Linked DNA regions of Callithrix jacchus. The protein of the gene in region 5 interacts with the protein of the main gene of each other region in a biochemical or structural test. Links are inferred from orthologs where the notes say so. Each region holds a gene or a part of one and is shown on either strand. Other genes may lie near its edges. The genes, in order: VDAC1, BIK, PMAIP1, HRK, BCL2L1, SIVA1 and BMF.

What was found.
Region 1: the proteins of BCL2L1 (region 5) and VDAC1 form a complex in vitro, tested with the Homo sapiens proteins (4 studies listed by BioGRID). The link is inferred for Callithrix jacchus from reciprocal best matches to the Homo sapiens genes BCL2L1 and VDAC1.
Region 2: the proteins of BCL2L1 (region 5) and BIK interact in a test that uses a peptide from one of them, tested with the Homo sapiens proteins (3 studies listed by BioGRID and IntAct, with this or other methods). The link is inferred for Callithrix jacchus from reciprocal best matches to the Homo sapiens genes BCL2L1 and BIK.
Region 3: the proteins of BCL2L1 (region 5) and PMAIP1 interact in a biophysical measurement, tested with the Homo sapiens proteins (3 studies listed by BioGRID and IntAct, with this or other methods). The link is inferred for Callithrix jacchus from reciprocal best matches to the Homo sapiens genes BCL2L1 and PMAIP1.
Region 4: the proteins of BCL2L1 (region 5) and HRK interact in a biophysical measurement, tested with the Homo sapiens proteins (3 studies listed by BioGRID and IntAct, with this or other methods). The link is inferred for Callithrix jacchus from reciprocal best matches to the Homo sapiens genes BCL2L1 and HRK.
Region 6: the proteins of BCL2L1 (region 5) and SIVA1 form a complex in vitro, tested with the Homo sapiens proteins (2 studies listed by BioGRID and IntAct). The link is inferred for Callithrix jacchus from reciprocal best matches to the Homo sapiens genes BCL2L1 and SIVA1.
Region 7: the proteins of BCL2L1 (region 5) and BMF interact in a test that uses a peptide from one of them, tested with the Homo sapiens proteins (2 studies listed by BioGRID). The link is inferred for Callithrix jacchus from reciprocal best matches to the Homo sapiens genes BCL2L1 and BMF.

The regions. Positions count from the first base shown.
Region 1 is NC_133503.1:74,347,624-74,351,123, reverse strand, and holds part of VDAC1 (non-selective voltage-gated ion channel VDAC1), read right to left. Parts: intron 3,408-3,500; coding exon 3,257-3,407; intron 948-3,256; coding exon 890-947; intron 6-889; coding exon 1-5. UniProt on the Homo sapiens protein: Non-selective voltage-gated ion channel that mediates the transport of anions and cations through the mitochondrion outer membrane and plasma membrane.
Region 2 is NC_133502.1:188,655,043-188,659,047, forward strand, and holds the start of BIK (bcl-2-interacting killer), read right to left. Parts: upstream 2,801-4,005; 5' UTR 2,613-2,800; intron 1,682-2,612; exon of another isoform or gene 1,604-1,681; intron 1-1,603.
Region 3 is NC_133514.1:102,890,613-102,892,778, forward strand, and holds the end of PMAIP1 (phorbol-12-myristate-13-acetate-induced protein 1), read left to right. Parts: intron 1-59; coding exon 60-166; 3' UTR 167-1,715; downstream 1,716-2,166. UniProt on the Homo sapiens protein: Promotes activation of caspases and apoptosis. Promotes mitochondrial membrane changes and efflux of apoptogenic proteins from the mitochondria. Contributes to p53/TP53-dependent apoptosis after radiation exposure. Promotes proteasomal degradation of MCL1.
Region 4 is NC_133510.1:119,915,610-119,919,179, forward strand, and holds the start of HRK (activator of apoptosis harakiri), read right to left. Parts: upstream 2,411-3,570; 5' UTR 2,277-2,410; coding exon 2,001-2,276; 3' UTR 1,945-2,000; intron 522-1,944; exon of another isoform or gene 389-521; intron 1-388. UniProt on the Homo sapiens protein: Promotes apoptosis.
Region 5 is NC_133506.1:7,531,663-7,535,162, reverse strand, and holds the end of BCL2L1 (bcl-2-like protein 1), read right to left. Parts: intron 1,874-3,500; coding exon 1,736-1,873; 3' UTR 259-1,735; downstream 1-258. UniProt on the Homo sapiens protein: Potent inhibitor of cell death. Inhibits activation of caspases. Appears to regulate cell death by blocking the voltage-dependent anion channel (VDAC) by binding to it and preventing the release of the caspase activator, CYC1, from the mitochondrial membrane.
Region 6 is NC_133509.1:139,618,854-139,622,833, forward strand, and holds the start of SIVA1 (apoptosis regulatory protein Siva), read left to right. Parts: upstream 1-1,180; 5' UTR 1,181-1,251; coding exon 1,252-1,369; intron 1,370-3,393; coding exon 3,394-3,588; intron 3,589-3,980. UniProt on the Homo sapiens protein: Induces CD27-mediated apoptosis. Inhibits BCL2L1 isoform Bcl-x(L) anti-apoptotic activity. Inhibits activation of NF-kappa-B and promotes T-cell receptor-mediated apoptosis.
Region 7 is NC_133509.1:46,496,597-46,500,096, reverse strand, and holds part of BMF (bcl-2-modifying factor), read right to left. Parts: coding exon 3,461-3,500; intron 1,976-3,460; coding exon 1,815-1,975; intron 1-1,814. UniProt on the Homo sapiens protein: May play a role in apoptosis. Isoform 1 seems to be the main initiator.

The DNA.
Region 1 (3,500 bases), on a different chromosome or scaffold from region 5:
GATACCTGCAGGGAGAAAAATCAGGGAGAGGAAAGGAGGAGGAATGGAGAAAAGAAAGGTTAACACCAAATTCAGAACCTGTTCCAGGTATTATCAGCAGGGTCCAAACTACATGGCCCTTCAATCCTTGTTACTTAACACTATCTGACTAACGAGTATCCTACAGTGAGCTTATAAAACAACTATAATTATCCTGCTGCCCAGAGAGCCTACCCAAATCTACTTCTGAAACCCCACTTTCCTTTTTCCTCCCACTGTTCCCCTGGTATAATTAGTCTCTAGCACTGGCAGCATGCAGTAAGCTTCTTTAGCAATCATCTCTTTAAATGAAACCTCAATCCTGAATCCAACCTAAGGGATGACATTTTCAGGTTCATAGTGTACACACACGTACAACAAACTGACCTTCCCTGAAATAACCTGATTCAGGGAGTAGCTGGTAATCTTAGGTTTCCACGGTTCAAAGGTGATATTACACCCTAGAACTATAATACACCATGGACTGGCCTAGCTTACTGTGCAGAGGAAACCTGCAAACCACTTTTCCTATTTGTCTTTTTACAATGGGGCTGATTTATAAGTTAGTTTTGAGAATTTGCTAGAAATAAGTATCAGGCATTATATACACACTGGAAAAAAGGATGGAAGAAAATAGCAGAGAATATATGTTAGCCTCAGCCTTTTTCTCCTACTTGCTACATCTCATATTCTCTAAATGTTTTATAATCATCCATACTCCTTTATAAACATTTAATTATACAACTTTATATACCCATTTATTATATACCCACTGTATTATACAAACATTTTACTATGACATAAATCAGCAAACCAGCACCACAATTTTTTTTAAAACAAAGAACCAATTTCACACACAAGCAACACATACCTGGCTTTAGAGTCTGAGTATATCCTAAACCTATCAGGCTGGAGTTATTCACTTTAGCCTAGTCAAGGAAATGACAAAACAGAGAAAACATTACGTTTAACACTTTGCAATTCCATCTCCAAAATCAGTAAGAGCTTTTTAGTCAACCAACCTTGGACTTCAGAATCAAATTTTTTTATGACCATCTTGTTCATGAGATTCATTAAATTCAACACAAAAGATACCAATTTTAGGTGCATATTTTCCTGTTCAAATGGTGTTCTGAGATCTGAAACCCCTCATAAGAACAAAGCAGAGAGGAGGAAGGCCTCTTGGGGGCCAGTGCCCCTTTTCTCTTGTTTTTAAGTGCCTGCTCTTAAGAGAGCCAAATTTGGTTCTAGTTCAGGAGACTTAAAGTGGGCTGTCCATCAATTACACAAACCAGTACAGAAACCATTCTACAACATGAGATTTCCTCATTCCACCCTAAAGAGGTACAGCCTCCAGTGCCCTGTGACAACAGAAATGAGCCCAACAGGATTTACTGCAAAACCTGTGAAGTAGTTTGAGGGCCTGTGAGCAATGCAAGAGAGTCTGCAAGATGCCAACTGACTACTGATTTATTAATAGGCAATGCAGGAGTTGAACAGAAAAATGAAATGTGAGGTGGGAAATTATCATTTAGCACCCTAAATTTCAAAGTGCTTAACAGTCTGCATTATAGAAAAGGAATTGGTATTAATGGAAGAGACTCAACAGTAAGCCAGTCTAGCTCAAATCCAGTCCCAAGCAACTTCCTGCTGTGTACCCTTGGACAAGTTACTCAACCTCTCTAACCTTCTAGTTCCTCATTTGTAAAAACACAGATGACTGGCTGCGTGCAATGGCTCACGCCTGTAATCCCAGCACTTTGAGAGGCCAAAGCAGGCAGATCACCTGAGGTCAGGAGTTCAAGACCAGCCTGACCAACATGCTGAAACTCCATCTCTACTAAAAATACAAAAATTAGCTGAGTGTGGTGGCGGGTGCCTGTGGTCCCAGCTACATGGGAGGCTGAGGCATGAGAATCACTTAAACCAGGGAGGTGGAAGTTGCAGTGAGCCGAGATCATGCCACTGCACTCCAGCCTGGATAACAGAGGGAGACTCCATCTCAAAAAAAAGAAAAAATAAATAAATAACAGAGATGATTGGCCAGGCATGGTTCATTCCTGTAATCCCAAAACTTTGGGAGGCTGCGGTGGGAGGACAGCTTGAGCCAGGAGTTTGAGACTAGCCCAGGCAACACAGAGAGATGTTATCTCTGCTAAAAAAATTTTATTTATTTATTTTTTTTTGAGATGGAATTTTGCTGTTGTTACCCAGACTGGAGTGCAATGGCACGATCTCGGCTCACTGCAATCTCTGCTTCGTGGGTTCAAGCAATTCTCCTGCCTCAGCCTCCCGAGTAGCTGGGACTACAGGCGCACACCACCATGCCCAGCTAATTTTTTCGTATTTTTAGTAGTGACGGTGTTTCACCTTGTTGACCAGGATGGTCTTGATCTCTTGACCTCATGATCCACCTGCCTCAGCCTCCCACAGTGCTGGGATTACAGGCGTGAGCCACCGTGCCCAGCCTAAAAAATTATTTTTAATTAGCCAGGCATGGTGGTGTGCCTGTAGTCCCAGCCACTTGGGAGGCTGAGGTGGCAGGATTACTTGAGCACAGGAGGTTGAGGCTGCAGTGAGTTATAATCACACCACTACATCAACCTGGGCAACAAAGCAAGACCTTGTCTCAAAAACAAAAAGTTTAAAAACCCAGAGATAATTTAAAACAAAAAAACAAAGCACCTATTTCAAATGGGATTAAACACAGTAGTCTTCATAAAAGGCTCTGCAGAGTGCCTGATACCCGTAAGAAGTACTAATACTTTGATCACTGTACTCATTTGGAACTCTTTTCAAAGTGACAATGTCTCCCATTTTGTTTTTGTTTTCTGAGATGGAGTCTTTTTTTTCTTTTTTTGAAATGGAGTCTCACTCTGTCACCCAGGCTGGAGTGCAGTGGCACGATCTCAGCTCACTGCAACCTCCAGCTCCCTGGTTCAAGCAACTCTCCTGCCTGCCTCCCGAGTAGCTGGTATTACAGGCACACACCACCACACTCAGCTAAATTTTGTATTTTTAATAAAGACAAGGTTTCACCATGTTGGCCAGGGCTCCTGACCTCAAGTGATTTGCCCGCCTTGGCCTCCCAAAATGCTGGGATTACAGGCATGAGCCACCGCGCCCAGCCGCATCTCTCACTTCAAGTAAGCTGAAGCACAGCATTCCAGCAAACCTGAAGGATTCCAACCTAAGTAGCAGATGGGCCTATGAGATGCGTGATTCCACAGATACCTACCGAGAAGCAGGCGTCAGGGTCAATCTGATACTTGGCTGCTATTCCGAAGCGCGTGTTACTGTTTCCGGCTGTCCAGGCAAGATTGACAGCGGTCTCCAACTTCTTGTTCACCTTCTGGTAAATGGAGCCGCCAAACTCTGTCCCGTCATTCCTGCAATGAGCAGAGCACAGATGCTGAGCTTCCCAGGGAGGAGAGCTGCAGCCCAGACAGATCTACCCAAGTCTCCCAATAAACAGGATGCCA
Region 2 (4,005 bases), on a different chromosome or scaffold from region 5:
ACAGGCTTTAGTCAAATGTGTCAGAATCTGTCTTAATGTCCTTACGATGACAAAAAAAGGTCCAGGCATGACGGCTCACGCCTGTAATCCCAGAGTAGCTGGGACTACAGGCATGTGCCACACACAACACCCGGTTAATTTTTTGTATTTTTAGTAGAAACCGGGTTTCACCATGTTAGCCAGGCTGGTCTAGAACCCCTAACCTCAGGTGATCCACTTGCCTCCGCCTCCCAAAGTGATGGGATTACAGGCGTGAGCCACCTCGCCCAGCCAGCAGGAGTATTTAAACACCCAAACGGTGCCATTTACTGAGAACTTATTCTAATGGTATCCCCTAAGTAGAAATCGCGGTAACTCCAGGGAGGCCACTAACTTGAATGTGGCTTTCTTCACCCCCAGCCAGAAACCTCAGGGAGACGTTTCTGCAGAATGGACAGAACAAACTGACTTTGGAGAGACGGAGTAGCCCTTCAGAGGCCGCAGGGCTCTCGGACAGTGGAAAAAGGTTTTGGCTTGGCTTCCCATAAACGGCCCTTGGCTTCCAGCTGGACAACTCTGGCATTTCTGTGCCTCCTGGGACTGAAGTGTTTCTCCACCTGGAAAATGAGGCCTCCTGCTCCCAGGGGGAGATAGAATTTAAGACCTTCCCGAAGCCATTGCCCACCCTAATGTGGGAAGATGAGGCTGACACCAACCCTCCCTGGCCACAGTAAACACCGCATCAGCAACAAAAATGTTACAACATTAAGAGCAGCAGCAGCAACAACAACGTCCTGCCCCCTGAGTGGCTCGTTGTAGCAAAACTGAGAACAATTAACGGCTTGAAAGTGATGGCATTTAGGAGGTCAGAGCCCAGATGACAACCAGCTCCAAACCCCTAATCCTTGTCACGACGGCGCCCCGCAGGCGGAGGAACCCCTCTAGGGTCACCCGCAGGGGCGCACCCCCAGTTTACCGACAAGGTCCCACGCCCCAGCCGGGCTCTCGCCCCCGCCCCGCCCGGAGCGCACCTGTGCAGGGCGCATGGGGCAGGTGCGGGCGAGCGGCTGCGCGCCGCTCCGCCTGCACGTTCCTGTTCCGGACTTTCTGGGCGTCCCGTTACGAAGCCTTTCCTCGGCCTGTCCTCAGGTGCGCAGTGCCCCGGGGAGCCCAGTCCCGGCGGGAACAGGTGCCCGACGCCATCTTCCCTCTTTTAAGGACACCTGGGCTGTGCGACCGCGACCGTGGGCTGGCGGTGCCGCGCTGCGCTCTGGCCGGGTCCGCACGACTACAGAGGTCGGAGCCTGGTCCCCGAAAGCCGCGCTCGAGGACTGTGAGGGGGACGATGGGGCTCCCGGCCTTCGGGGCGAGACGCAGAAGGACCACCCATTGCACAGACGCGGGGACTGAGGGCCGCGCCTGGCACCATGCATGTCCGGGACGTGTCGGAGCCGGAGTCCCGGGACGTAGCCCCGCAAGGGACTCGTCCGCGACTTGCCGGAGCAGAAAGACCGGGCATGGGTCCTCAAATTTTCAGCCGCTCGGCACCCGGGGCCGCGGCCTAGGCGCTAATCGCGGGGCTGGAGTCGGGGAGGGGGAGCGGCAGCAGGGTCGGGGTACTCACCTGGCGGCGGCGGCGGCGGCGGCGGCGGCGGCGGCGATGATAGCAGAGTCTGCGACCCAGCAGAGAGGCGTCGTGTCTGCGGCCCGGGGACCCGCGCGGGACCTAATGGACCGGGACGCCCCGCCCCGCCCGGGTCCCGCCCCGCGCCGCCCCGCCCCGGGAGCTGCCTCTCGCACCCCGAGCGCGGAATGCTGGACTGGGGTCTGAATGGCATTAGCAACAGAACCGCTACAAGTGCGGCCGGTTGGCTTGTTTACGGCCTCTCTGCCCCCTGCTGTTCTGCAAACTTGCTTTGTCTCGTGCGTCGCTGTTTTCCCTGCGCCCGAGACGGGCGCGCACTCAGGGGTTTCCATGAATACCCGGGGTCGATCCCTTGCCAGAATCTGGGTGTATAATCTAAGCCCTTTACACGGATGGCTTCCCTTCGAGCTCAAAGTACTCCTAAGGGCTCGGTGCTGTTTTTCACGATTTTACCCGCATGGGAACCGAGGCTCCAAGAGGACGAAATGACTTGCTGAATGACCGCGTGAAGCCAACGCTTGAAAACGTGTGTTCCTTAGGCAGCTCTGGGACTTAGGTGTTTGGTTTTGTTTTGCTTTGGGACGGACTCTCAGCCACCCACTCTGGAGAGCAATGGCACGACCTCTGCCTCCCGGGTTCAAGCGATTCCCTTGTCTCAACCTCCGGAGTAGCTGGGACTATAGGCGCGCGCCACCACGCCTGGCTAATTTTTTGTGTTTTAGTAGAGATGGGGTTTCACCCCGTTAGCCAGGATAGTCTCAATCTCCTGACCTGGTGATCGGCCTGCCTCAGCCTCCCAAATGCTGGGATTACAAGCCACCGCGCCGGGCCAAGAGATTTAGGTATTTTTAAGCCTATTTCACGAATACGAAAACCGAAGTTCACACTTGGGTTAGCAGCAGTGCTCCAGACCCCAAGCCGGTGGGCTTCCCCTCCACTCCCCTCCCTCCGCAGTCTTCCAGCAGCACCCACACACCCACTGCCTTACCCCTCCGGTCTCGGGCTCCCGGACAGCAAGAGCGGGGCGGGACCGGGAGAGAATTGGGGGCAGGGGGCCCACCGGCAGACCTGCTGAGACGGACCCCAGAGACCCACCAAGGAGAGATAAATCAGAAAGGTTCCGGGAGGGGTGGGGGGCGGCAGCCTGCCCCGCGGGGACGGGTAGTGCCTAACTGCGCCCTGGGGCATATTGGGGGTGGGAGAAGAGGAGGCTCCTGGAATAACAAAGTAACGATTGTCCTGATCACAACAAAGCTTGTTTACGCGTGTCCTGATCCTCTTAGAGATCGGGGGAGGGGCAGGAGCCGGGGCTCCCCTCCCCGGACCATCTCCTCCCCCAGCTCTGTCGTTGCTACCTGTTGGGCACCCTCACTGCTCTTCCTACCTCTAGGGTCATTACTTCCCCCTCAGTGTTCTCATCTGTGAAATGGACAACAGCACCTACCAAGAGCTGGGCTGTTGGGAGGAACAGAGGAGGTAAAGCCTGATAAGGTCTTCAGGGTCCCTCCCTCCTGCTGGGCCTTGGACCTTCTCTGCTTTTGTAGTCTTTGCTTCTAGGGCGTCCAAACCACATCAACTCCCAGCGCTACAAAGCAGCTCACCCTGACTGTGGATAACAGCCACAGGGTGCCTTACAGTCAGGAGTGGGAAACCCTTAATTATGGGGCTTCCCTCTGAGTGCATTTTGCAGATGAAGAAATTGAGACTCAGGGAGGTAAAGCAATGACACAGCATCTCTTGGGTCCAAAAGACCTTGTATGTGTGAGATGTTTGCAGAGGGGTCTTGAGGCTGCAGGCACAGGGCCAGGCATGTGGATGTTCAGTAAACAGCAGAACAGATGGAGAATGAAGGACAGTTTGGGGACGCTTTGAATGATTCAAGGGCAAAGTGGGTGAAAATACAGTACTTATTTACTTTGCAAAATCACAAGATAATATGCTGATCAAGGCTGGGCGCGGTGGCTCACGCCCATAATCACAGCACTTTGGGAGGCCGAGGCGGGTGGATCACAAGGTCAAGTGATCGAGACCATCCTGGTCAACATCGTGAAACCCCGTCTCTACTAAAAATTAGCTGGGCACAGTGGCACGTGCCTGAAGTCCCAGCTACTTGAGAGGGTGAGGCAGGAGAATTGCCTGAACCCAGGAGGCGGAGGTTTCAGTGAACCGAGATGGCGCCATTGCACTCCAGTCTGGGTAACAAGAGCGAAACTCCATCTCAAAAAAAAAAAAAAAGATAATATGCTGATCAAAAAGAGGAAGAGATGGCCAGGCATGGTGGCTGTAACCCCAGCACTTTGGGAGGCCAAGGTGGATCACCTGAAGTCAGGTGTTTGAGACCAGCCTGGCCAACAAGGCAAAACCCCTGTCTCTGCTAAAAA
Region 3 (2,166 bases), on a different chromosome or scaffold from region 5:
ACTGGTTACAGTTGGTAATATCATCAATGTTGATGTCCGTGTTTTGCTTTCCTTCTCAGACCTTGAAGTCGAGTGTGCCACTCAACTCAGGAGATTTGGAGACAAACTGAATTTCCGGCAGAAACTTCTGAATCTGATATCCAAACTCTTCTGCTCAGGAACCTGACTGCATAAAAGAAACTGGCATGAGGGGACTTCTTCAAAAGAGAAGTTTTCTCAGGAGGTGCTCATTTTATCAGTTTGGAGATTGCATTTTGAAGATTGCAATTTGAAGACTGAATTGTAATTGAGAGGAATGTGAAGAAGCTTTCACGAGTGCCCTTGGAAACGGAAGATGGAATGCATCAAAAATGAATTTCTGTTGGCAATTTCCCAGATTATCATTTGTTGGGATATGAGAGTGTTATAAAACCACTTGTTTATTTTAAAGCAAGAACGAGAGACCCTTGGAAATAGGGAAGTAAAGATTGATACATTTCCTTTTTACTTAGATAATTGTTCTAGTGTTTTTGTTGAAGATTACTGCTGGCCTAGTGGAAAGGGGGATGGCCCATGGTTAGACTTGGTGGCTGGGAAGAAACAGTTGAGTGCTTTGTTGTTATTGCTGTTTTTGGTATTTTGCTTTTCAGTGCCAACTCAGCACAATGTATATGATTTGGTTTATACATATTACCTTGTTATAAGGAAAAAAATTCATTCTGAGAACACTGAAATGTCATAGTGAATGTCGATTTCTTAGGTCACTACACAATGTAAAAGAATTTGTTTCCTTTGACTCAAATTGTATTGCTTCTGTTGAGATGATCATTCAATGTGTTCCTGTTGGAAACTATGGAAAACTGGAAAATAATTTCAAAAAAATTGGATAGAAGTATAGGAGGTTACTTGGGGCCAGTATATTGGTAGACTGAACATTCAATATAATAAAACAACACGGGGATTTTGTATAACTAGGGATAATAAAAAGAAAAATGAAGTTGATTTTTAATTGATGTAATTAAAACTTAGTAAAACAAATATTCACAGTAACTTGATGCGAAATGAAGGTTTCTAAAGAAGTTTCTAAAATTTGGAAAATGCTCCTTGTCTCATTAATGTGCATCCTACAAAAAGTGATCTTTTAATACAAAGTAAGAATGTTTTCATAATTGGAATATGCTTTTTTTAAAAAGAGGAACAGATTGTTCTCATCTAGAATGAAAGTTCCACATATGCATTGGCGAATATATATGTCTACATATACTTACATAGTTATATGGATATCTGTATGGATAATTTGCATTCGAGTATTATATAGATTCTTAGAAGAGTCTCAAATAAGTTTCATTTTTTATCTGGTCTATATACAGTCCTCAAATACATAAAAAATAATATGATTTTATTTCAGCAAAAATAATTTTATTTATTTTGCCTATTTATGATTAAAATATTTTTTAGTTTGAAAATGTATATTAAGGTTACATTTTTGAGTTCCAAAGGCTACTTGAATTTTTAGTTAAAATGTCTTAATATAGGTTATAGTCACTTTAGATGGAAGATTACCTCACATCTCTTTTCTTCAGTATTACTTAAGATGGTCTATTTGTTGCAGAGATTTTTTTTTCAGCCTAGAAGCAGATATCTTACCATCTGGGTATTTATGGTCTAACTTGTATTTAAACGTGTGTACACATATAAAAGTTGATACTGTGGCAGTAAACTGTTAAAAGCTTTCATTGTTCTTTTCCGTGTGTTCATTTCTTCTTCATCTTGTAAGCTGCTAAGTGTTCATTATCAAGCCAAAGTATTTTAACTGATTTCCATCAGCAGACATCCACTGACCTTCTGACGGCACTGTCTCCTCCCACTGGTTCGAGTAGAAAATGTAGGGGAATTTGCATGATTTCTGCTGTCAAGGGACTTAAACACTTTAATTGGGAGGGGAAATACTGAAAAATAGGAAATGAATACGAGGCATAGGTCTTTTTTTTTTTTCTTTTGAGACAGAGCCTTGCTCTGTTGCCCAGGCTGGAGTGCAGTGGCACGATCTTGGCTCACTGCAACCTCTGCCCCCCAGGGTCAAGTGAATCTTGTACTTCAGCCTTTCTGGTAGCTGGGGTTCTATGCGTGTGCCACCAGGCTGGGCTAATTTTTGTATTTTTAGTAGAGAACAGGGATTTCACCATG
Region 4 (3,570 bases), on a different chromosome or scaffold from region 5:
TTTGGGGATCCGGGCGGGTTCACACCTCTGACACTCACACACTGGCAAACGGGAACACTCAGACAACCTCCGGCCCAGAGTCCTCCGCCTCCCGGGAGGGGCACCTGACATCCCGCACGCCACGTCCCGGGAGGGGACCGCTTTTCCAATCTCCTGGACGACAGAACCAAAGAAAGCCGTGTCCCAGCCCTCTCCCCATTTCTATTTGATTTTACTCCCTTCTTCTCTTGCCTTCTAATTCACTTTTCAATTGTCTTACAACTTGTTCTCCAGGCACTTTCTCTTTTTCTCCACCCTCTCCAAACTTCTTGTCCCTCCCCACCTCATCGCCTGGTTTTTCTCTCCCTCTTCACCCACTTTTTTTTCTGCCTCTTCCCAAATTCCACGCTTTGGGCTTCGCGTCTGTCGCTCAACTTCCTTTTTCTGCTCCACGAGATCCATCCAAAGTGTTCTTCCCGTTCCTGGGATTGGGCAGCCTCAGCCTGGCCCCATTCAGTCGCGGGAGCCCCCGGCCTCTCCAACTGGAGGAGGAAGAAGGCGGAGAGTAGTGGAAGGGACCCCCGGCGCCCGGGAGCCCTGCGGAGTGCGCCCCGAAGCGCTCACTTCTCTTCGTCAGCGCCCAGGCTGGGCGGGCCCACGCGACATCTGTCGCCTGCGGTCCCGGCTCACACCCCGTGCACCCCCGCAGCTCCCTGGGCGCTGCCACCCCCCACGCTCCGGCTGCCGCCTTTCCCGGCGGGCGCAGGCGCTAGGGCCTCGCCTTCAGGCGCCGCTCCAGCTTCCCAGGGTGTCTGCGGTGCGAGGCGGGGCTCGGCGGTGGGGACCCAAGGGCGGCTGGCTATATCACCTTCGATCTTCACCTTCCGGCCCTAGACCCATCTATGGTGGACTCAGCTTGATTCTCTCCACCTTCATTTTCTGCAACGCTCCTCGCTACTCCAGGATCCAGAGTAGTAAGGCGATGCTTACACTGTGTGCTTCCTCAAAGCGCCTAGCACAGTGCCAGACGCACAGCTATGGCACAATAATTTCCCCCCAAGAGCCTATAACCTTCCTCCCACTGATACCAACCACACTAGGCGCTCAAGGCCCACGTCCAGTCCTAAGCTCTCAAAACATCACTTCCCTAAACAGTGCCCAGCACCCAGAAGGAGCTCAGTAAATGTTCCTTCCTTAAGGCTTCCCATTGGAGTTTCCCCAAAAGCCTCCTATTCCAACCCACTGCGAGGGCGTCTCCTTCCCAACGCAGCTACAACCGTCTGAGGAGAAGGAGGCCAAATTCCTTAAACAGGACAACTCACTGGCGAAGGAGCGAAGTTGGCAGGGCAGAGGAAATTTGCAAATGCGCGGGGCTTGGGGTCGAAGATTGGGCCAGCCGGAAACAAGGAGGACGAAGTCTCGAGATGCGATTGGGGTGGCAGAGAATGGGGATCAGAGATTGGGGAAGTGACACTTAGGGAGAAGAGGTGGGAGCAAAGGTGAGGGAGACGGTGGCGACTCAGGAACGGCAAGAGGCTTGAAGGGGACAGGGGACCTTTCTTAAAACTGCGACAGATTATAAGTATTTGGCGTAGCTTTCAGCTACATTCTCATCGCAAGCACACTTTTTACTTGCATTGTGTGTTTATTTGTGGGGCTGGTGGGGATTATGGAGGCTGAAGTCCTCCGCAAGCCAACCAGCTCTAAGGGAGAAAGTAGCAAGATGCGCTTAAGGACTCGGAGAGATGGGGGCAGAAACGGTGGACCTGACACTTGGAAGGAAAGACGGGGGCTGGGCAGAAGAGCTGGCCGGGGGTGCTTGCAAGAGAAGAGAACAGAGGAAGAAGGGAAAGGGAAGAGAAGAAAGCCAAACTTGCCACTCTCCCGCTCCCGGGCCAGCCCAGCGCCTCCAGTGCCCAGCTGCCGCGCCCTGGCTCTCGCTCGCTCGCTCGCTCGCTCGCGTACCTGTTGCTCGCTCCGGCTGGGTCTCGGCTCCGGCCCCACCAAGAAGCCCCGCGTTCCTACAAGTTCCGCCTGCCGAGCAGCCAGGCCGCCAGCGCCGCCACCTGCGCGGCCGCGCACAGCCAGGGCCAGTAGGTGGGGAGCGCGCCGGGCGCCGGCGCCCTCCGGCTCCGCGCGCGGCGCCGCCACATGGTGCGCTGGTGCAGCTCGTCGCCGAGCGCCTTGAGCCGGGCGGCGGTGAGCTGCGCGGCGGACGAGCGCAGCCCCAGGCGACCCGCGCTGCAGGCGCAAACGGCCGGGGGGCCGCGGCCGCGGTGCAGGGGGCACGGGCACATGACCGCTGGCCTCGCTCCCGCCCCGCGCTCGGGCCGCCCCTCGCCTCCTCTCCCTCCGGCCTCTGCGCCCGCCGCCGCCGCGCTCCAGCCGCCGGGGGCCTCCCCTGGACACCAAGTTTCTCCTTGTGTTGTGCGTTTGTTGTGCTGACAGCGCTATTATTAATTAAAGTGTCACATGGTGGAGGGGGGCGGGGAGGGGGGTTACATCATCCGGCCCCCGGGGGTGGGGGGGGCTGCAGGCAGAAGAAACCGAGAGGTAACTTTTAACCCTAGCGGCGCCGGCAGCGAGGGGCGCGCGGTTTGGGAGACGGGGTAGGGCGGCGCGCGGCTACGCGAGAAGGCGCCCCGCGACGGAGGTCCCGGGCTTTGAGGGTCTTGGGGGACCCCCGCGGAAGCGAGGGAAGGTTGTTCTCCTTCCCCTTTTCCTGAATTCAGCTCGAGTTCCGATTTGGCGAAGGAAGCAGCCTTGTTTGCCGTTTTGGAAGAAGCTGATACTGAATTCGGCTGCCTGATTCAAAAATATTCCGAGGCTGTTTTGTTTGGGGGAAGTGGGTGGATTCAAAATCTTGTGGAAGGGCCAGATTACACCTAACTTGCCTCGTTTCAGGTCTGACTGGGCACCTGTAGGCTTTCAGCCTGATCCTAACGCGCCCCCAGCGCCCGGCTAGAAACCCTGACGTAGGCGCAGTGGGAGGTTGGAGGGGTCGGTCCTGAGCTCACGTGGGGCGCGGACAGAGGCTTTCTCACCGCCCAGTACCTGCACCCAAAGGGCCCTCACAAGGGCCTTTCTAAAGGGAAACTTCTTGTCTGCTTTCTTTGTGAACGTTATTTTCTTGATGGGGTTACAGTTTTCTGCGACGATCCCGATTTATGCGCAGTAGAGACCCTAAGGGGTCAGCGAGAGGAGGGGTGCGGGGGACTTTAATTCCCCCTTTTCCAACCCGACAGCCGCTCCTGTGCACCTCCAGACTGGAGAGTCTGGAGTTGTCACAGCCAGTGAAGGTTCAGATGGGTGGGGCGGCTCTCAGGATTCTTCAGGGGAGAATGAAACCTGCGATATTAAATCCACTGGAATTCAGGCAACTTTGGGATTCAGACGATCGGGATGAGTCCAGAGGTGGCTCGAAGGTGGGAGTCTGGAAGCTGCTGAGGGAGCTTCCATTCTTTCCTTCCCACCGCAGAGTATAACCATGATTCTCCAATCCTGTGAACTTAGTTTTGGTCTGAATTGATCAGGAGGAGAAATGTCTGCTTTGGCCTGCAGCGCGGTGAAATGACAACAAAGTCAGGACTC
Region 5 (3,500 bases):
GCTGACTGTGTCTCCCACTAGAAGGTCAGCTCCTGAGGGCAGAGACTGTGTCTGTCCTGTTCACATGCAGCCCTAGTGCCCAGCACACAGCATGTGCTCAGTAAAACCCTGTCAACCTACAGGTGGAAAAATTCGGGCCCAGAAGGAAGCAAAGACTGGTCTAAGGCCCTCCCCTGAGGGCGGCAGAGCCAGGACCAGTACCCAGCTCTCCAGGGGCCCCACCTTTCCCCATCCCAGAGCACACAAGAGCCCAGGCTCTTTGTTCACTGAGTAAACACAGTTTATTACTGAACTGCACTTTCACCTTCACACAGACTATTTCAAAGAGCTGGAACAAGTGTGGGGTGGGGGTTGGGGGAGGGACCCTCAGGAGCCAGGACCCTCGGCCGGCTTCCCTGGACCAGGGCAGGGGAGGGAGCATCAGGCCGTCCAATCTCCGGGCACCAGCTCTCCACGTGCACGCGCACTGCAAGCCAGCAGCTCCTCACACATAAATACAGACACGCTTAACAAAAATAGTATATCATCTTCACAAGGAATAAAAACTAGTTTCGAATATGTACAGCAGAGAGCCCGGGGTGGCTGGGACCCCTGGGGATGAGACAGGCCAAGGGTGGAGCAGAAGAGAGAGGGAGGCCTGAAGAGCTCCTGGCCAGGCCACTCTGACCTTGGCAGCCCGGCTGCCCAGGTTGGACAGGTGTGGGGCACAGATCTGCCTGGCCAGGCAGGACTGGCCCTTCTAGTCAGCCCTACCCCACCCCATGCAGCAGGCTCTCCTTCCTGCCCTTCCTGCCTGAGGTAGGGAAGACCCTGGGGCTCCCATAGCTTTTCCTGATAGCTCCCCTTCACCTCAGGGCTGAGTCCCCTGAAGCCCCATGAGGAGCAGCCCAAGGTAAAGATGCCACAGGCTGCTCTTATACGAAGTGAGGCAGCTGAGGCCATAAACAGCTCTGGGGCACCTGTCTTGGGCCCAGTTGGTCCCTCAGTCATGGTCATGGGAGCCAGGGAGGGGAAGGGACTAGGGTGGTGCTGAACTGCAAGAGCCACCCCAGCTTTGGCATAGGGTGCTTCCTGCAGCTATAGCCCCTCCCTCCTGGATGGGGCTGGCCTCTAGCCAGAGGCTTCTGGAGGACATTTGGACTTCGAGTGAGGACTCTGCCAGTCCAGAGGTGGGAAGGGAGTCCTGGTCCTTGCTTCTTTATCCTAAGCAGCGGGAATCCCTAATTAGTCAAAAGTGGCCCCTAAATGGCTCTTGGGGGATAGGGATGGAAGGAAAGAGAATCCAGGTTAGTGTGGGGAGAGGGGGGAAAATGATCAATTCTGAGGCCACAAACATCAAAACAAAGGCAATCTACTCTCCTTTCTGGGGAAGAGGTTCTGAAAACTTTCAAGCTCCCTGGTAGAAAAACATTTTCAGGAGGCTAAGGGGTAAAGGTTGCACCAATCAGGTAGGGCCCTCCTGCCCCCAGCCACAAACCCTTCCATACCTGCCAGCCTCCTTGGGACAGATTTTTGTGGATTCTGAGGCCAAGGGAACTGAGGTGTGGGGGTCTCACAGAAGTGTGGTAAATTCTAGAAAACTAACTGCAGGGGACCAGATCAAGGCCCAACCCTGTGGAGGGCAGGTGGGCACGGGCTGCATGTAGTGGTTCTCCTGGTGGCAATGGCGGCTGGACGGAGGGATGTGGTAGGGCAGGGCAGGGGTGGGAGGGTAGAGTGGATGGTCAGTGTCTGGTCATTTCCGACTAAAGAGTGAGCCCAGCAGAACCACGCCGGCCACAGTCATGCCCGTCAGGAACCAGCGGTTGAAGCGCTCCTGGCCCTTTCGGCTCTCGGCTGCCGCATTGTTTCCATAGAGTTCCACAAAAGTGTCCTGCAGGGAGAGAGAAGGAAGGCGCAGTTTGAGTCATCAGACAGTAACATAGGTGGGTGCGGAAAGGGGGCCATCTGCATGCTATGGCCTCGGTGATGTGAAAAACTGTAGCCACTCTGGGCCAAGGGTGATCCTCTTTCTTGCCCCTCAGTGGGTCATAATTAACCCATGCTCCCGCTGAGAAAGCAGGCAGAGAGGAGGAAAGTATGCTGTCCGAGGTCAGTCAGGAAGCAGCACTTATTCTAGAATCCAAGGTGGGAGTGAAACAGGCAGGGTCAGGGAACTGACTGAAGCTGGGTGGCTGGACCAGAGTGCAGGAGAGGAGGGCATGGGGAAGATAATGGTGCAGGGCTGAGCCAGAGCCAAACCATGTGTGGCCTGGAAGCTGTGAGGAGCCTGGAGTTGAGTCTGAGGGTAGTGTGGAGTGTAAAGCCACTAGGCCTCAGACTTTCTACTGTTGCACCAGAGGGAGGGACAAGAAAGCATAGGGCTAAATCCCCAGGGTCATTTGGGGCCAATTCAGGGGTAGATTGGGTCAAGTTGGTGACGGGAAGAGCAGTTCAGTGGAGAGAGGGTAACAACGATGGAGTACTGAGAGGCCTCCATGATGGGGTCTGTGAGGCCCTGTCCCTGTCCTCCACTCCAGGGACTGTGACTCTGGGCCCAGGAGGTCGTTCTTGATCAACAGCCCTCTGCCCTGAAGCTAAGTCAGAAGGGAAGCACATGACAGGGGGAAGGAGGAGCTGTGGGTTAAATTACCCAGCCCAGGGTGCAGCAGCCTGTGGGGCAGGGAGAGAGATGCTTAGAGCATACTTCGTTTTGTTTTGTTTTTTTTGAGACCGAGTTTTGCTCTCGTTGCCCAGGCTGGAGTACAATGGCGCAACCTTGGCTCACTGCAACCTCTGCCTCCCGGGTTTAAGTGATTCTCCTGCCTCAGCTTTCTGAGTAGCTGGGATTACAGGCATGCATCACCACACCTCACTACTTTTGTATTTTTAGTAGAGATGGGGTTTCTCCACATTGGTCAGCCTGGTCTTGAACTCTCAACCTCAGGTGATCCGCCCGGCTCAGCCTCCCAAGTGCTGGAATTACAAGCGTGAGCCACCCCTCCCAACCTAGAGCGTACTTTAATGAGTAAGTGTTGTGCCCAATTTGTCCTGTAATCCTCCCAACAGTGCTGCGATGCAGGCTGTCTCTCTCCATTTACAGACCAAGAAGCTGTGCCTCTGAGGGCGCAGGGACTAGATCAAAGTCACCCAGCTATGTCAGTGGTGGAGCCAGAATCCAAACCTGTGTCTGGCACCTAGAAATAAGTAAGAAAAAAGTAAGTTCAGGCTGGGCGAGGTGGCTGACACCTGTTAATCTCAGCACTTTGGGAGGCTGAGGCAGATCATGAGGTCAGGAGATTGAGACCATCATAGCCAATATGGTGAAACCCTGTCTCTACTAAAAATACAAAAATTAACTGGGCGTTGTGGCAGGCGCCTGTAATCCCAGCTACTTGAGAGGCTGAGGCAGGAGAATCACTTGAACTTGGGAGGCGGAGGTTGCAGTGAGCTGACATCACGCCACTGCACTCTCAGCCTGGCGACAGAGTGAGACTCTGTCTAAAAAAAAAAAAAATATA
Region 6 (3,980 bases), on a different chromosome or scaffold from region 5:
TCACGCGGGGAGGGCGTCACGGGGGTGGCATCACGAGGGGCGGTGTCACGCGGGGCGGGCGTGCAGGGCTCCAGGCATCAGCTCCTCACACCGGAGGCGGCGCAGACGGAGCCGCCAGAACACAGCCCAGCGCGAAGCCCACGCCACGGGACGCGGCGGTTCCGCACCCGCCGGGGCAGCGCAGAGCAGAGCGGCCCCTGCTGAGCGGAGCCCGGACAAGGGACAACGCGGCTGCACCGCGCGGCCTGGGGACCTGAGCCAGACGGACCCGCTGCGCAGGAACATCTTCCACACAAGCAGCACCCGGGAGCCCTCGGGGCCGCCCCCTCACGCCTTTACTTCCGGAAGGCGGGGACCGCCACGGCGAGCGGCTAGACCAGCCGGGGCAACGCAGTGAGACCCCGCTCCCACCCAAAACCAAAAGTCAGCCGGGCGCGCCTGCGGGCCCAGCTACCGGGAGGCCGAGGCGGGAGGATCGTGAGCCGAGACTTTGCCACTGCAGTCCAGTCTGGGCGACAGAGCGAGGCCGTGTCTCTAAAAGGAAAAAACTAGGAAGAAGCGGGCCGCCCCGAACTTCGGGGAAGCAAATGAGGACCACGACCAGTGTCCACCCGTTCAACCAAACAAAAGCTGACAGGAATCCCGCCACCTACCCGGCCCGCCCCCGACGTCGCTCCGGCCTATCCCGCGCCGTTCCTCAAACTAGACCCGCCTCCGATGTCGCCCTGGCCTATCCCACGCCGATCCTCAAACGAGGCCTGCCCCCGATGCAGAAGCTCCGCCCCTTATTCTCCCCGACTTCGCGGCTCTGTCCTGACCCTCAGCCTCTCCTGCTGGCTCTTCCCGCACTGTAGAATCCCGCCGCGACCTGTCTCCCAGGCTACCCCGCTTCGCGCCGCACAGGAACCCCGCCCCTAGTCTCTCCTCCCGCCTATCCTGAGCCGCGTGCGCACAAATCCCTCCTACCGACCCGCCCACTCTGAGCCTCAAACTGGCCCCTGGGCCTTTCCCGCGCCGCGCAGTTCTGATCACCGACGCACGAGTCCCACCCCCGATCTCACCCTCGGCCTATCCCGCGCCGCTCTGCACAGGAGCCCCGCCTCCTACCTCGCCCGCAGCCTATCGCGCACCGCGTCGCTCCCTCGCCCTCCAACTCGCTCACGCCCGCGGATGGGCGCGCGGCTGTGACGTCACGGCGCCGGCGGTAAGGGGCTGGCGGCCGCGGAGCAGCGTAGCTCCCGGCCCGCGGCGATGCCCAAGCGGGACTGCCCCTTCGCGGACGCGGCCCCGCTACAGCTCAAGGTGCGCGTGGGCCAGAGGGAGCTGAGCCGCGGCGTGTGCGCTGAGCGCTACTCGCAGGAGGTCTTCGGTGAGTGCCGGGCGGACTGCTGAGCGTCCGCTGCGTCGGGCCTGGCCTCAGCCTCCCATCCGAGGCCTGAGCTGGGGTCCCGGGGACACAACCTGCCCACGACCAGGGCTGGGGTCGGTGAGGGGGAAGTGAGGACCTCAGCGTTCGCCCCCCGCGTCCATCAGCCTGAAAGTAAAGGGTCTCTGTCCTTAGCCGCCGCCCCGCAGTCAGCGGCACCTGCCTGGCGCTTCCTCGGGACTGTCCCGTGCTGGATGCCCTGGGAGGGGTCGGGAGGGGGGCGTCCTGCAGGGAGTCGACCCGGAGTGCCCCTCCTGACCCAAGAGGTAATCATGGAGCGCCCCCCACCTCCTGCCCGGCGCCCCGGGAGCTCCGCAGCCTAGTGGGGGAGACCAGCAGCAGGAGGAGTCACCACAGGTGATCAGGACGGGCGCAGGTTGGTGCAGGCGCACCTGCAGGGATGGCGCAGGGGCCCCTTGGAAGAGCAGTCTGGGCCGCGTCCCGTGGGAAGAGTGGGGCTTAGCCGGGCAGAGGGGTCAGCCCAGGCGGAGCGAGGCAGGACTCCGTGTGGCTGCATGTCCAGCGCCGGGCGGATGCGAGGCCTTCCCTGGCTTTGTCCTGTACATTTCAGGCGTGTTCAAGGCGTTCTCGATCATCAGGAAAAATGATCGTAATCGTCAGTGATCACTAATCACTAGGGCGATGAATACGCCGGGGCAGGTAGGAAGTGGCGCTCACCTCGCCTAGTGGTTGGGGCGCAAGGTCTGCCCTGTAGAGCAGTTAGAGAGTGACCGAGGTGTGTGATTTCCGTGGTGCTGCTTGTGCCTTGCGGGTGAGGGAAAGGCTTCCCCTCCTGAGGCTCCGGTGTGCTGCGGCTGTGAATGCGGGTGCTGTCTCCGGTCCTGCCGGGGTACGGGGAGCGACGCGGTGGGAACGTGGCTGGACCGCAAGCGCGTGCCCTCTCTCCGGAGAGCTGAAAAATTCAGACTGTGCAGGCAAGAGGAAGATGGAAATGGGGCCTGGGTCAGGCTAGCTCTTTACTCTCCCGAGTGCCCTGACACTGGCAGATGTTAGCCCTCCCTAACCCGACCCACTCACGGGTGGGTGCAGTGAGCCTTCCATGGTAAGTGCAGGACACGTACTTTGAACTGTGTGTCAATCCCATTCCCTTCTCATTATGGATAGGAAAGGTGTGGGGGGCCAGGAGGAGGAGGTGCTGGGTGCTGTGGGCTGTCATCAGCCACTCCGTTTGAGTTACCCTGTCCCTGTTACGGCTGCCGATTTCATGTAGAACCACGCGGAGTTTCTGGGATCTCTACCTTTAACTGTGTTACGATGAGGTGGAAAACACAAAGCGTCTCTGGGTCTAGTTTCCAAAGCTCCTGAGGTGACCGAGCCTGATGGAAAACCACTGCTCTGGGTCCTGAGCAGGCCCTTCAGCTCCCAGGGATGGTGTGTGTTCTACACCAAGAGGTCTGCAAGGTTCTGGGACGCTTGTCTTGCCAGCAAGTCTGTAGCAGGTGAAGGGGGTGTGCGCTGGCTGGAGGCTGCAGGCCCAGCTCCGAGCCTCTGGCTGCTTCCTAGGCAGGGGCGAGATTTGTGAATTAGTGTTCCACAGTGCAGAGCTTCCTCTGTGCATTCCACAGAGACTGCTTTCTGGGTGGGGAGTGCTGGGAAATAGGAAAGGGAGAAAGGGGAACACGCTCAGTGAGGCAAGGCCGGCTGTGGATTGCAGAAAATGAGCAGAGCAGTAGAAGAGGGAACCCCTGCCTCAGACACAGGTGGGGCCGCAGGGCAGAGTCTTCTGGAGTAGATGACAGCTAAGCCAGGTAAGGAAGGGAGGCACGAGCGTCTCAGTGTAGAGGCAGAGCAAGACCCAGCTTACCAGGACACAGCATGCATTACTGGGTGACAGAGGGCACACAGTAGGACCAAGGGGTCCATGAGAGGCTGAAAAGACTCAGCGGCCATGCAGAGGCTCCGTTGGTATACAGTGAAGAACATGAGAATGATTTGTCTTCCCCCAGAGAAGACCAAGCGACTGCTCTTCCTCGGGGCCCAGGCCTACCTGGACCGTGTATGGGATGAAGGCTGCGCCGTCGTTCACCTACCAGAGTCCCCAAAGCCTGGCCCTACAGAGGTCCCGAGGGCTGCACGTGGGCAGATGCTGATTGGACCAGATGGTCGCCTGATCAGGAGCCTTGGGCAGGCCTCTGAAGCTGGTGAGTGGCAGGTGGCAGCACAAGCATTTTTTCTTTATTTGCAAGCTCGGGCTTTTCCTCCCTGGGCAAGCAGGAGTCTCACCCAGAGCTTGGCCTTCTGGCTCGGGAGGTTTCCCATCCAAGACGGGAAGTTGTTAAACAGCTTCTAACTAGTGGACCAGAAAAGCAGCAGGCTCCCCGGGTGTCGCGTCTGCTTTTGCCTGCAGCCCTCTCAGACAGTCCCAAATGGCTGGAAGCACAGCGGTCCCATCCCTGTGCAGTGTGGGTCTCACACCATCACCTGTGTTGCCTGTTAGAAAGGCAGTCCCCGACCCTGCCCACAAGTCTGCTTGGTGTGTCTGGGAGGAGCCCAGGCACCTCTTTGTTAACCAGCGAGGCAGTGGGCCACACTG
Region 7 (3,500 bases), on a different chromosome or scaffold from region 5:
ATTGCTTGAACTGGAAGGCAGAGGTTGCAATGAACCAAGATCATGGCACTTCACTCCAGCCTTGGCGAAAGAGTGAAACTCTGCCTCAAAAAAAAAAAATGCAGGGCCAGACCTTGGGATAAGGGCCTCCTCCTCCTTCTGTTCAGGACCAAGTTAGGAGGGCTCCCAGGAAGACTATATCCTAGTCCTGTGCCAGGGAGGGCTCCCAGCCTATTCCCAAGCCTATAGGGGCTCACCAGTGGCTAGGGGAAGGTTCTGGGGAATAACTGGTGAGAGAGATCAGATAACTGCAAATGAAGCAAGCTGCCTTCCACATAGGCCTCTAGCTGAGTCTAGGAGAGCCACAGCCACTGTGTCCTCCAATCCTCTCCAGTACCGGGACTGGAAGCTGTGAGCTGCGCTCAGCCATAGGCCTGTATAACCAGGGTGGAGTGAATGGGCAGGAAGGAGGCCAAGAAACTGAAAACAAGAATCAGAGTGAGTCCACACATGGATTGAAGGGGAAACTCTAAGCCAAGTTTCCACCAAATAATCAAAGGAGGGAGTAAGAACTGGAGCTTAGTCTATTATCTAAACATAAGGCCACCCTCCCTTCCTGATCACTAAGAGACTAGGAGGACTTACCAGGACCGGGTCTAGCCCCAAACTGTCCTCAGAATTCCTTGGCAGAGGGCATTAACAATATCTAACCAGCAATGGCCTTTTCTTAGGAAATCCAAGGTCAATTCCTCTTCCCCTGCCACTGGCAATGGTTTGACCCTTAAGTCAACCTACTTATTATCAATAGCTCTCCTCTGGCCACCTGAAGTTACCCATCTAACCCTGGAGTCTGCCCAGTCATGATCAAGCTATTTATTCCCTTGATTTATTGACAGACACACATACACACATACAGAGCCAGCAGGGCCAGGGACACAGTCCCAGAAGTACAGAATGTGTTCGCTTCCAGGTGACACGGATGCAGCCTCAGGCTCCTCTCCCTGCCTTGGCAGCCATCCAGAAAGCCAGCCTGGAGAGGAAGGGTTAAGTGCCTGGGGGCCCAGCCCAGACAGCGGCTGCTGGAACAGGGCAGCCTCCAGTCCGTGGCACAGAGGGCTCTTCCAGCACGAGCCTGCCAGCCGCCGCCTTTGTTGATGGACTCTGCCACATGCTCGGCTGACACGCGATGCTCCACCCTGGCGGGGCTGGTGCCAGGCTGCCGGCCAAGCACCCGGCCAAGCGCCCGGCTGGCCGCCGGTCTGGGGAGCCTCTCGGAGGTACATTCTCTCGAGTCCCAGACCCTGGTTCCCAGACACAGACAGTGAGGAGCGGCCTCCCCAGCTGGAAAGTGTCAGGTTTCAACCGGTTCCACCACTTTCCCCCACTCAGGCCCCATCCCTTGGCCTGGTTACCCGTTTCCCACTGTACCTTAGCCAGGCACCCCCAACTGCCCAGTGTCACTGCAGCACCCTAAAAATCTTCCTTTTAGGTCTGTGAGGGGCAGTCCCCCGGCCACCACCATAAGAAGAGACAGGCTATCAAGCAGGGCTGCAGAAAACCACCCTATTCCAGGGGAGGGATTGTAGCCTCTCCCAAGATGGCCCTTATGGAACATGAGTTGAGAGTGGGCAGTTAACCAATGCAGAGCTCCGAGATGAGGGCAAGATGCTCATCCAGCTGGGCCTTTCCTGCCTATGGGAACCGCAATAACCAAAACTCTGGGACCACATTCTTGCGGTCTGGCAGAGACAGAGTTGCTGACAAGAGGAGAGAGGCAGGCCCTGGCCCCCAAGCCCCACAGACCCAACCCTCCTCCCTCAAACCCCCATGCCTACTTGCTGCACATGAAGCCGGTGGAACTGGTCTGCAATGCACTGAAGCTTTCGGGCAATCTGTACCTCTGCTCGATGTTGCCACTGCCCTTCGGGGGGCTGCTCCCCAAGGGGCAAGACTGCCGGGAAACTGGCAGGGAGAGGAAGCCGGTAGCCAGCATTGCCTGCAAAGATAGAGGAGCCACATCTCAGCATTCTCCACAACTGCTCCCGCCTCCCCACACCTGCCCGACCTGGCCAAGATTGAGGCTGAGAGTAAATCCTCCTATGAGAATGGATAGGAACCAGCATGCCTGTATCAGGGCACTCTGCCAAGCTTGGACAGGCTGCTGCCCAAGTGCATAAAGGTTGCAGAAAAGAACGGAGAACAGGGAGAGTGGCCCGAGCCTTCCCTCCAGTTCTCCATTCACTGACAGTGCAGTGACAAAGGGCAGGGTGGTAACGTGTGCAGGCGAACGTGCCAACCTTCCATCCTCACTTATCAAGCTATGCTTGACCACAGTTGATCATTCATGTAGTAACAGGTTGAAGTTCTTCTCTGGAAAAGCACTGGAGGTAGCTCTCCAGAGTTTCTGAGTTGAGCAAAGTAAGGGGCAGAAAAAAAAAGTGACTTCACGTTTTTAGTGCAGTAGAGGAAGGCTGGTCTCTCGAAGCTCCTGGGCAGCAGCATAAAAACAAGGGAGAGAAAACTGAGATGCACAGAGCTGCCAAGTTCCTCTCTGGAGACAGCCCCAGGCAAGACCTCTAGACCAGCGCTCCACACTTACCGAGTGCACGCGTTAGAGCCAGCGCTAGGGGCGCCAGTCCGCCGGCCTCCGCGCTCCTTTCCCTCTTCCCCGCCTGCCCGCCTTATCCAGCTTCTCATACTCCCGCCAAACTGCTTTGCCAGAGCTGCCCTGAGAGGCAGTTCCCTCTGGGAGTAAATACAGTGTCTCCTCAATCTGCTCGTCAGACACAGCAAGCCACCCTCCTAGCCTTTACCCTCCCTCCATAAGCTGCAGTGCCACTAGAAGAAAACAGACTGTCTGATCCTGCCGTTTTGCCAGAGGAGGGCCTATTTCTCATAAAACAAACTATTTAAGCCCACAAATGAAGAGGTCTTGTCTGATTTAGCCTTGAAAGCATCCCCTCTCTTGGCACTGGGCCCAAGCAGGCCAACCTCTTTCTCCAGTTCCCCTACCACATACAGAAAGTCCCAAGTGACAACTGGGGCCACCTTCTGCCTTCGGGAACCCACCCTCCCAGAACCGGTTGGGTTTTTCCCTTCATTGTCAACAGCCAGTCACAGATCCCCCAGCCTTCTCCAGGGCAACAGGAGCCACTTTACAGAAGGCAAATCACTGCTGGGACACTAAAGGCCGGGCCACTCAAGGGGCACAGGATGTAAATGGAGATACTATGGACTCAAGGATCCCTCCAGGAGGGGACTATGGAGCAGAAAGAAGGGCAGGGCAGTTTGCCCTTTGGGGTCCTGAGGCGCACAGGTGAGGAGCAATAACAAGCCGAGAGGAAGCAGGTGGAAGTCAAGGAATCCACAGCCCCACTGACCACTTTGGGGAAGGAAGCAGCAAAGGGCAGGTTTGGGGAGGGAAAGTCTCCTCTTTTCCCCCAATTTCTATGGAAGGAGTCTTGAGGCTGACAGCACTCACCGTAAAAGAGTCGCTGGGGTTCCTCAGTCACCCCACAAGG